Coturnix japonica: one gene and its partners. The protein of the gene in region 1 binds, or shares a complex with, the protein of each later gene. Links are inferred from orthologs where the notes say so. Each region holds a gene or a part of one and is shown on either strand. Other genes may lie near its edges.

The links.
Region 2: the proteins of F7 (region 1) and POGLUT1 are in contact, whole or in part, in a crystal structure (PDB 5L0S), measured with the Homo sapiens proteins. The link is inferred for Coturnix japonica from reciprocal best matches to the Homo sapiens genes F7 and POGLUT1. Residues at the interface, in NP_000122.1 of Homo sapiens: Asp108, Gln109, Cys110, Ala111, Ser112, Ser113, Pro114, Cys115, Gln116, Asn117, Gly118, Gly119, Cys121, Gln126, Ser127, Tyr128, Arg139, Asn140; in NP_689518.1 of Homo sapiens: Met103, Phe104, Pro105, Ser106, Arg107, Arg132, Asp133, Pro171, Ala172, Trp174, Pro178, Thr179, Thr214, Asn239, Gln240, Ala241, Val274.
Region 3: the proteins of F7 (region 1) and F3 are in contact, whole or in part, in a crystal structure (PDB 6R2W), measured with the Homo sapiens proteins. The link is inferred for Coturnix japonica from reciprocal best matches to the Homo sapiens genes F7 and F3. Residues at the interface, in NP_000122.1 of Homo sapiens: Leu73, Lys78, Phe91, Arg96, Leu99, Phe100, Ser103, Ser120, Lys122, Gln124, Leu125, Ile129, Cys130, Phe131, Cys132, Leu133, Pro134, Phe136, Glu137, Gly138, Arg139, Lys145, Gln148, Ile150, Val152, Asn153, Glu154; in NP_001984.1 of Homo sapiens: Thr49, Asn50, Lys52, Ile54, Glu56, Trp77, Lys78, Ser79, Lys80, Phe82, Tyr83, Glu88, Asp90, Asp93, Gly141, Gln142, Thr144, Glu162, Arg163, Thr164, Leu165, Arg167, Phe172, Tyr188, Trp190, Lys191, Ser192, Ser194, Ser195, Gly196.

What each region holds. Positions count from the first base shown.
Region 1 is NC_029516.1:123,942,357-123,944,800, reverse strand, and holds the end of F7 (coagulation factor VII), read left to right. Parts: intron 1-207; coding exon 208-314; intron 315-766; coding exon 767-887; intron 888-1,059; coding exon 1,060-1,598; 3' UTR 1,599-1,871; downstream 1,872-2,444. UniProt on the Homo sapiens protein: Initiates the extrinsic pathway of blood coagulation. Serine protease that circulates in the blood in a zymogen form. Factor VII is converted to factor VIIa by factor Xa, factor XIIa, factor IXa, or thrombin by minor proteolysis.
Region 2 is NC_029516.1:82,808,223-82,812,428, reverse strand, and holds the start of POGLUT1 (protein O-glucosyltransferase 1), read left to right. Parts: upstream 1-1,278; 5' UTR 1,279-1,405; coding exon 1,406-1,484; intron 1,485-1,616; exon of another isoform or gene 1,617-2,059; coding exon 2,060-2,150; intron 2,151-3,985; coding exon 3,986-4,129; intron 4,130-4,206. UniProt on the Homo sapiens protein: Dual specificity glycosyltransferase that catalyzes the transfer of glucose and xylose from UDP-glucose and UDP-xylose, respectively, to a serine residue found in the consensus sequence of C-X-S-X-P-C.
Region 3 is NC_029523.1:11,730,257-11,734,173, forward strand, and holds the end of F3 (tissue factor), read left to right. Parts: intron 1-70; coding exon 71-255; intron 256-680; coding exon 681-862; intron 863-989; coding exon 990-1,149; intron 1,150-2,288; coding exon 2,289-2,431; 3' UTR 2,432-3,402; downstream 3,403-3,917. UniProt on the Homo sapiens protein: Initiates blood coagulation by forming a complex with circulating factor VII or VIIa. The [TF:VIIa] complex activates factors IX or X by specific limited proteolysis.

The DNA of each region.
Region 1 (2,444 bases):
GAAGCCACATATGTCTTTCTGCAGACAAAAACCTACCTGCCTGCTGAGCTGCTTTGGGTGACTTCAGAGAGCCCATGCTCCCACACTATGAACCTGTTTTTCAGCTAACAAAGCTCCACTGAAGATGTTCATAAGAATCAGTCTGTGACAGTTTGCTGTGAATTCAGTGCAATGAAATCACACTTGTTACTCTTTTTCCTTTTTCAGTGAAATACCCTTGTGGAAAAATACCAGTGCTGGCAAAAAAGAATGTGACTGCTCGGGGCAGAATAGTAGGTGGTGTCACCTGTCCTCCAGGTGAATGTCCATGGCAAGTGAGTCTTCCACTAATATTTAACATTGTCATTGCTGTTTTTCTCGTGAAGCCATTCAGTATTTTAAACGTGTTATGTTAAAATGCATCAAAAGTGTAAGGTTTGGGCAAACCATCTACACCCAGCAGCTCTACCTGTTTCAATCACGCATCTCAGCCTGGTTCTGAATGCCTACTTTCCTAGGAGTTGAGTCGTAATATAACCTCCTCTGCTTCCTGATCCCTCCATTGTTAATTATACTGCTAAGAACTTGACCTAGGGATACACTCTTGGCCATAATACACAGGATCTATGCTTAAAAAATGGAGAAAATGTTGATCAGAAAACTCCTCCCTCCTAAATTCTCTGCAAAATCAGAATAGTATTCTCAAGCACAGTTGTGTATGATGACAGAAAGAAGCAAAACTGGACTCTATTGAGATACAAGTAAAAAACTTGCTTTCTGTTGGCAGGCCCTTATAATACAGGATAAGAAAGGGAAGTGTGGTGGTAGTCTGCTCTCGCCAGAGTGGGTGGTGACTGCAGCTCATTGCCTGGATTACACTCATACCAAACAGCTCCGCGTGAGGCTGGGTATGTATCTCCCTTCCCCGTGTTAACAAGCTGTTGTTGTCTTAATTTCTCCTTCTGAGAAACCAGAGTGAAAACCAAAAAGAGTCAGATTAGAAATCTCCTGCATCCACCCACAAGCTCCCAAGGAATCCAGTTTCTGGCCAACATGACTTGCAATCATTAACTTTTCCAGGTGAATACTCAATAAAAGTTGATGAGAAAACTGAGCAAGAACGTGCAGTTAGCAAGATCATCAGACACGAAGAATACATCAATGGACAAGTCAATCATGACATTGCCCTCTTGAAGCTGGAAACACCCGTGAATCTCACCGATTTTGTGGTGCCAATATGTTTGCCTGAAAAACGGTTTGCAGTGTACGAGCTGTCCTCCATTAAGTTCTCAACGGTGAGCGGATGGGGACGGCTACTAGATGGAGGGGCTACTTCTACTTTTCTGATGCGAGTTGATTTGCCACGTGTAAAGACACAAGAATGTGAAAAGCAGGCTAAGTTAAACGTCACCGAGAATATGTTCTGTGCAGGAGACCTGACTGGCAAAAAAGACTCCTGCAAGGGAGACAGTGGTGGACCTCACGCAACGAAGTATAAGAACACCTGGTTTCTGACTGGGATTGTCAGCTGGGGAAAGGGTTGTGCTGTTGAAGGCAGCTATGGGGTTTACACAAGGGTATCCAGATACATCGACTGGTTGAAGAAGCACATGGAATGACAACAGTGAACCAGAGCATTTCCTTGCCTTCATCCCTCTGTGGCATTTTCCTACTGAAGCATTCCTCCGTTAACTCAGACACATGGTAAAGGTGATATTGTTCACAGTTTTAAATGAGCCTAATGCCTGCCTGAATAGATAAAATAACTTTGATATTGTTGTAAACTTGAATGTCTTGTCAAGAGGCCACAGAAAGGCTCTATCAAACCAGATGCAGAGTCCCTCATTCTTCACCCATTTTCTGGTAATAGAAAAGCTTGGTGCTGAAAAACACTGTCGGTAATGTGTTGAGTACACCGTGATCCTTCCTTGTGCTGCTATCATGGCTGCTGGTAATCAATGATGTACAGACTTCCTGAGCAAGAAGTTGCATGAGTCTGAGAGGTCATGAATGAACCCATTTGCCATACACATGTGCAATCTCATTTACACTTCCTGTGCTGATAGGTCCTGCAATACAATGAAGCAACAGCAGGGGAAAGAGAAATGGTGTTTCTTTTAGCTTATGGTGAAGAAACTTTCTTTTGCAGTTCCAGCAGGTGGATTTGAGAGGGAGGAATTGCAGAACATCCTCAGGACAAGAAATCCAGTAAAAGATTAATTCCACATTTATGGGTTTGCTAAGAAAACTTGATTTTAGTCTTCTTTCACTAAATATTACTGCAGTAAGGCTACTAACAATACATTTATGAGTATTGTGATGAAGACTACCACAGATTTAATCCTACATTTGCCTTCTTGTATAATTGGGATTCTTTCAAGTCATGCTGAATATCAGATCAATCACAAAGGCTTATCAGTATGTAGGACACTCACAGTTGACTCTGGTCTAGCACTGGGAGAGAA
Region 2 (4,206 bases), about 41 Mb from region 1:
GAGTTTGGGATGAGGCACAGCTACTCATTCTTTTCATTCTATGAAGCTGTTACTACCAGTAACAGAAACCGCGTAATTCACTCACTCCTCTGTAGTTCAGTCAGAGGACAACTCCAGCTGTACATTCAGAAGGCTGTGCTGACCCTAGCAGCTTCAAAGTCGGTGTTCAAAAAGCCCTTCAAGGTAATTTATTTCAAGGGTTGCACATATACACCTCTAGTCTTTGTACGTGGGAACCCCTGCCCTCCAGTCACAAAATCTACTCCTGATATTAGCATCTACTTCTGGCCTTCCACAGATTCAGCCTACGCATAGCACCCAAGTTTATCAGCTCGATTACATTCAGAAGAACTACTATCCTCCACAATTTTCAACCCTTAGGAAACCCTCACACTCTTCCTCAGCATGTGCTTTTCACCATTGGCCTGCTGTTAAGTAACTATTTCTTTAGTATAACCTACAGGTACCTACAGCCCTTACAGTCTCATGCAGATGAGGCCTTTGTAAGTTTAGGTGTTGGCTCCTGTGGCTAATCACTCAGCCTTTATGCTATAGATACCAGTTTAATTTAAATGTAAGTATACAATTGCTTGAGATGGAACAAACCTTAAAGGCCACACAGTCCAACTTCCCCTGCAATGAACAGGGGCACCGCAGCTCCATCAGGTGCTCTGAGCCCTGTCCAGCCTGACTTTGGGTGTCTCCAGAGATGGGGCACCCACCACCTCTCTGGGCAACCTGTTACAGTGCCTCACTGTTGTTACTGTAATAAACATCTTCCTGGTATCCAGTCTAAATCTTTTTGTTTGAAACCATTTCCCCTTGTCCTAACAGCAAAAGCCCTATTAAATAGCCTGTCCCCTTCCTTCTTACAGTCTACCTTTAGACGTTGAAAGGCTGCTCTCAGGTCTCCCCGCAGCCTTCTCTTCTTGAGGCTGAACAGCCCCAGGTCTCAGCCTGCCCTCATAGGGGAGGGGCTCCATCCCTGGGACCCTCTTTGTGGCTCTGCCCTGGATTCGCTCCAGTAGGTCCATGACTCTCAATGTAACGGCTCCTCCCCACGGCAGTGAGGCCACAGCACCTCTCCCTGGGATCCAAGAGCAGCAAAAGCAGATCTGGACTAGGAAAGACAGCTTAAGACCACATATATACACAGATCCCATGAAGAGCAGGCGGGCTGTTCCACACTCTACCTTAAGAAGATCAAATTCATACAGGAATCAAATTCATACAGGACAGCGTTTGCTTACACCCAACCTTTCTAGAGGTGCAGCGGCGGGAACTACAGCTCCCATCCATCCGCTCAGCAGCACGCACCCCTCCCCTCCCGCCGCCATCTTTGCGGGGCCGCCATCTTTGCTCAGGGAGTCACCGCCCCCCGGCGGCCAGGCGCGCAGGCAGCAGCATGGAGCGGGCGGCGCTGTGGGGGCTGCTGGCCGCCGTTGCTGTGTGGCCTTCGGGAGCGGCGGATGGTGGGTCAGAAGGTGAGTGAAAGAGACGGGCCGTGGGGAACACCACGGGGAAGAGAGCGGCTCTCCCTAGTTGCCTTTTATAGGGCGGCCCAGCACATGTAGGAAGGAGGGGCTGCCAGGCCCAGCCCTCCCCTCAGTCCTCACCTGGGTGTCCCGGCGGTGCTTTCATCACTTAACTGTAGCAATAGAGTCATTTCAGAGATAAAGTCCATGCAGTTCCTTGTAGTTACATAGCGGGATGCAACTAGTGCAGTGCAACAGTTGTGGTTCTCTAATGTGCGCTCAGGGAGCCCGGTTTGGTTTAACAGCCTGCAGGCAGCAAGGCTGTGCTAAAGGAACCGATGTCACTGCTCAGTAGGCAGCGTCAGTGGAGCAGTTATGGGTTGAAGGGTCAGGGTTCTGTCAGCAGGGGAATGGTCAGTGTCAGCCGTGCTCTAGTTCAGCTGTGTGGGCTGAAGTGTGTCCCAGGATCGTGGTGCGTCGCTATTGCCCTGCTGCCAGCTGGAGAAGTGCTGCTCAGCTTCTGCTGATTGCTCTGGTTGTTTAATGAATTAATGCCTTTCACTTTTCCTTTCTGTGTATTTTAGATGCCAAATGGAAAGCAATAACAGATCAAATTAACAGAGCTGTAGAAGTCTATAAGCCATGCGTAAAGGAGAATTGTAGCTGCTACCAAAGGTAAGAGATTAGTTTCCTTTTTACTGAACAGGGCTATGGTCATGATCACAGCACTGATAGATGGGAGTTAGCTGTAGAATATGTGTGCTCTAATGTAGCACATCTGCAGCCAACATAGGTTGCAGTGCTTACAAGGAGTTTATTAATGGCATTGTGTGAAACTTTCATAGTTCCAGCATGAGTTGTGTCCACCTGCAGATTGACCACCGTGCTTGTTGTCCTCTGTGACTGAACAACATAAACTGAGTCAGCATCTCATACGTAATCACACAATAATTCCATACACAGCTGGTGATATTTCTGTATTAGAAATCCACTCTGCATTCACCCTCTGTACAATATTTGTTGCTAACAGGTTTATCTGATGGACTTTTAAAACTGAGGGAAATAAATATATGTAAATATTTAAAAGAGGATTAAGAAGGATAATTACAGAACATGGATTTATTTGGCATGATGCTATGTGGTACTTGCTAACTTGTGGAACACTTGTATACCATAGTGACAGACATTACTAAAGAGTCCAGAAAGATAATACAGTACCTACACTGTATGACACTAAGAAACTCAGCTCATTTTGATAGCTGATCTGGAGAGATGCAAATGTGCAGCAGAATAGTGAAAGCCAGTCCCTTTCCTTAGATAATGGATTTTACTTGTGTCAGATTTTCTCTGGGTGGCCAAGAACTGAAAATTCTAGCCTGTTATTGACAATAGAAAGGTAGCAAACAGCAACGTGGATGCGCTATAAAACTCTTTCTTCCCGTTCTCCAGCTTGTTACATTTGCATCCCTGCTTATATACTTTGTCAACCTATCTGTACTGTAGCAATTCTTGATGTAGTTTACATTTTTCTGTCTGATACAGAATAACAGAATCATTGACCTCGGAGGGGACCTTTTGAGATCAAGAAATCCAACCTCCCTGTTCAAGCAGGGCCACCTAAAGCAAATGGACAGGATGGTGTCCAGTCAGACCAGAGACCCCACTACTTCTCTGGGCAGTCTGTGCCAGTGTTTTATCACTCACACATTTGGTTCATCCCCTTCAGATGGGTCTGTGCATTAAACCAGGCCATTGATGCAATGTCTACTAAAAAGTAGAGGGGAACTCTCCATGGCTGTTACCGTCTGAGAACAATTGTTAACTGCTCCAAGCAGTTGGATCTGGGGGTCTTTAGACTATATATAAACTGCATTCTCTGTCTGTATTTTAACATATCGGTTAGGTTTATGTTTTCTATTTTCTATTTCTACTATATTCTAGGAGCTCACCAATGACATGCAGATATCACAGAATACAGTCTATATAGGCTTGTTCTCCTGGACTAGCTTTTACTGTATGCAGCATTACCCAGTAATCCTTGTGACTAGACTGTTACTTACTTTTTTTATAAATTTTAAAATTGACATTTAGTGAGGAATTTGGTCTTGGTGTAGCCCACCATTATTGGAAATCCAGAACACAAGCTTCAGAACTCAAAGTTTAAGTGAACTGAAAGCTTTTATCCATAACCTGTCAGGGTGTTTAATGCCTATTTGTTTTTTGGAAGAATAACTGCAGTGAACCACATTGATTTAGTTTGAGAGTCCGGTGCTGGGTTTTCTGTTCAGGCAAACAGCACATAGATCATCACAGAGCAAAGCTGGGACTTTGGAGTCTCAGAGTAGTGGCTGTTTCAGTTGACTTAAGTTGAATCCTCTGTTATGCCATGTGTAGCAGAGCTGGAAGCCACATAAAGTTTGTTGTAACTAGAAACCTTTTCTGTATGCTGCAGTACTTTAATGTGCAGCATCCCCCAATGTACCTAATGATGGCTAATTGTTTTGTTTCAGTGTCTGGAAACAGGACCTGGCTCCTTTTCGAAGTGGCATTTCCAAGGAGACAATATCAGATGTGGTAAGCCGGAAGCTTGGAACACACTACCAAATCATTAAGAACAAGCTGTACCGTGAACATGACTGCATGTTCCCTGCAAGGTAAGAGCCACACAGAAGATCCTGCTTCCATACCTGGCACATAGGAATACTTCCAGTACTTCTAACCCTGATGAATT
Region 3 (3,917 bases), on another chromosome or scaffold:
TTTAGCCTGTGTAAGTAGCTTGTGAAAGTCTTCTTGGTTAGTGCTGACACTTCTTTCTTACTCTTTTCAGGGAGACGTCTGATACCAAAAAAAAATGCATAATGACTAAAGAAACAGAGTGCGATGTCACTGATGCACTCCGGAATGTAAAAGAGACCTACACAGCACATGTATTATCTGTAAAATCCTTGGTAGAGGACGACTTTGAAGAACCACCTTTTGCAAGCTCTGAAAAGTTCACACCTTATAATCAGAGTAAGTAGAGTTCCCAATTAAATCTTTTCATTAGCTTCCTTTCAAGATGATTTTCATTGACTTAAACAAGATTTGGATTTGGCCTAAAGCTTGCTCCTGTAGATTCTTCAGTAGCCCTACTGATGTCTTAGAAGATGGCATTCAGACATAAAGCTTTATTTCCCTGTTGCAGAGCAGTGTGTGAGATTTTAGCCAATACTTGTTTCTCACTTCACTGTTCACCATTTTATCAGCATTGTGTACAAGGTACAGATACTTGTTACTACCAGTACTGTCTTGGCTGAGTAAACTCTTCTGTTTGAGAAGGGAAGTAAGTTAAGGGAGGGAAAGAGCACATTTTGTAGAAAACAGTGGAAGTGTAGAACAAGCGAGAATGGGAAAAAGAAGTGATGCCAGTGTTTTAATTCTGAAAAATGCTTCTTTAGCTATTATTGGAAAACCGGAGATCCAAAACTACACACAAAAAGACTCCAAACTGCGTGTTGTGCTCCGTGATCCACTTACACCATATACATTTCCTAACGGAAGCTTTCAAAGTGTTCGAGATATTTTCAAACACGACCTGGAATACAAACTCTATTACTGGAAAGATCAAAGTTCTGGAAAGGTGAGGCCTTACTCTGCTTTTCTACATATTCTGTAGATACATAACAGCTATATAATTTTTCTGCTGCCTTAAAAGCACTCGTAATTTCGCAGAGGACATGAAATGATAAATGTTTTCTTCTTTACAGAAAGATACAACAACCAAAAGCAATACGTTTGATGTAAGCATTGACAACAAAAATAGCTATTGCTTCTACATACAGGGAATCATTCCCTCTCGCAGAGAAAATCGTAATGGTCAAGAAAGCACAGTGCTTTGTACCACTGTAGGAAGAACTACTTTAGATGGTATGTATCTAGTGAAGAGCATTGCGCTGCCTTCAGCATTCCAACAGAAAGACACTTCAGTTTTGAATGTGTTTTATAACTCTGTAATGTGTGATGCCTAAGTTACGAATGAACTTATGTAAGCGAAAGGACCACAGACTAATAGGAAGAACACCATTAGATAAGGACCCACCATCTTTAGCTAGCTGGAGTTGGCTGTAGAGTTTTGCTGAACTGCTTTGTTTCAGTTTTAAATTGTCAGAGCTGCTGACTGGTCACGAGAGTTTCAAGTCTCATCACTAGATTTCAGCTTTATTTTCTTTATTTGTTTGGCTTCTTGTGTGGTTGTTTTTTTTCCCCCACTGCTTCCCTTGAATCCACCTGATACAAGTGATCCCACAGCGAGTGCAAGTGGTTGATTATTTCTAAAGCATAGGAGTGCTGGAAATCTGAATGACAGGCATTTCCATTGACTTGTAATTTGAACTGAAATTTATTCTCTCAAAAGTACTGATGAGGCTAAGACTCTCTTTAGTGTTATATTGCCATGTCAGCTGACAGACTGACTTCTCATATATATGTGAGCAGACAGTGAATCAGCCAGTGTTATTCAGGCCAGAATAACACTTTCTTCCGTATAAAGTCTTAAATACTTATTAAATAGTATCACAATACTATCATGCTTGTTTTCTCTCCATTAGATGAAGCAACTTGGACTTTAAATAGAGAACCTCTTATGAAGTTTGCTTTCTAATTAACTTTATTATCTAAAGTATATGCTTTTAAATATCACAGTAGCTAAATTCTAGTAAGTTACAATTTAAATAAGAATATCTTTTATTGGTACTTTCTAGCTTCTAACCTAGAAAAAAAAAATACTCAGAGTTGGTTCCACAGAGATAATGCAGAGACTGGGGGAATGATTTGACCTACTCTTATTATTTATTTTGTTGTACTATCTAGATTAAAACCCACTGTGAACCACATGAAATAAAGCTTTACTTCAACAAATTCATTCTAAAACAAATTCAGTTCACACTAGGGTAACCATTCTACTTCCATGGTACATATTTTAGTTCAGTGTAAGGATTTGTAGCGCTGTGACGTGTTGTCTCTGATAACTTAACCTCGGATTATTTTTTTTTTCCCCAACTCTACAGAATACGGAGCAGAAGTCTTTATCATCATAGCAGTGGTAGCAATTGCAGTCATCACTCTGGCCATTGTCCTAGCGGTGATCCTGTGTAAACGCAAGAAAAAAGCAAAAACTGCAAGAGAAAAAGAACCACTTAATGGTGTCTAAAGGAAAACTGTTGTGGATACTCGTGGAAGACTCAAAGGCAGAAAAAAGGACGGAGCCTTTAGCCTCTCTGGTACAGGAAATTTGAAGCTAATGGATCTTTGAGTCCACCAAAGTTCTAGACAGTCACAGATTTAAAAACAAACAAAAGAAAGCCACAGATAGCAGGAAGCCCCTGTCTCCAGTGTCTGGAGGCTGGAAGAATATTTTGGTGATCTATTACAACATAATTACCCTCCTCATACATTCTTCTCAGCTAGAATCAAATGGATCTTTGATTTGACCAGGCACTCTCAAAATATAAGCATTACTGAGCCAGAAGTCTTTACAGTACTTGTGAGGAGAAGAAAAATACTCGTTTTGAAAATATGTCCTTTGCTAATGAAAAGGACCATTTTTCTGTTTCTATGAAACAAAACCTGTAATTATCTGACCTTCTTACAACATTATTAACTGGTGAAATGATTGTTAGTTCAGACGGTACGAAGATGCTACTGCCATTTCTGCACTTCTTGGATAAAACTGTCGTGGTCTGTTTATCTTTGGATATATCCAATCAGCAGTAAACAAATTAACACATTGGTGACCACTAATGTTCTTGCAGTAGGTAGCTGCTAACCATATGGAAAGCATATCTGGATTACACTACACCTACAGCTCCACAGACAGGGTAGCCTGTTGGCTCCAAGTAAGTGTTAGGATAAATACTTCAGCCTGAGGGAATAGTAACTCACTTCAGGCAAACACTGAGTAAGGAGCAGTAGTTACTGAACTTTATTTAAAATTAAATGGTAAATCAACTGTTTATGTATTATAGATTCAAATCATCTTGGTGATGGGATTCAGAGGTACTTTTTGCTATGACTGTTTTAATATTTATTTTATGGATGACAATCTAGTTTTTATACTGCTGATACCTGTATTTATAGTAATTTATACTTTTCTAGTGAAATAAAGGTGACTGGGAAAATAAAGCTTTTCTTTTTTTTTTTTTTTAAATGGAGTAAAATATTAATTTTGGAACTCAAGTTAAAAATGTGTTTAGGAAACTTACCTTGTGATTGAAGTTTACACAAGTTGTCAGAAATCCAGCCAGGACCACGTGAAATAAACCAGCAGGGCACCCACTACCTGCAAGGACAAAAATATGAGAAGCCATACTTCATGAACTAATGATAGGTATTGAAGAGCCCCAAGTTGCTGGTCAGCTTTCTGTTCGGTTAAGTGGTTATTCAGAATCAGCTTAATCTAATGGAAAGTATATTGGATGCCCAACTGGATGTTTGCTTAGGAATCCCCACGCTGATATCTTTACCACTTTTGATAGTAGTTTTCAGTCACGGCAGTATGGGATTTGATCCCAGGCTGATAACTGCTGCAACATTCAACCTATTGCTGCTGCTAACGATGGGGATAAGAACCAAAACAGAAAGGAAAAAAAAAAAGCATCGAGCAGTTCACACTAATTGGCTGTATACCTCAGTGGTAT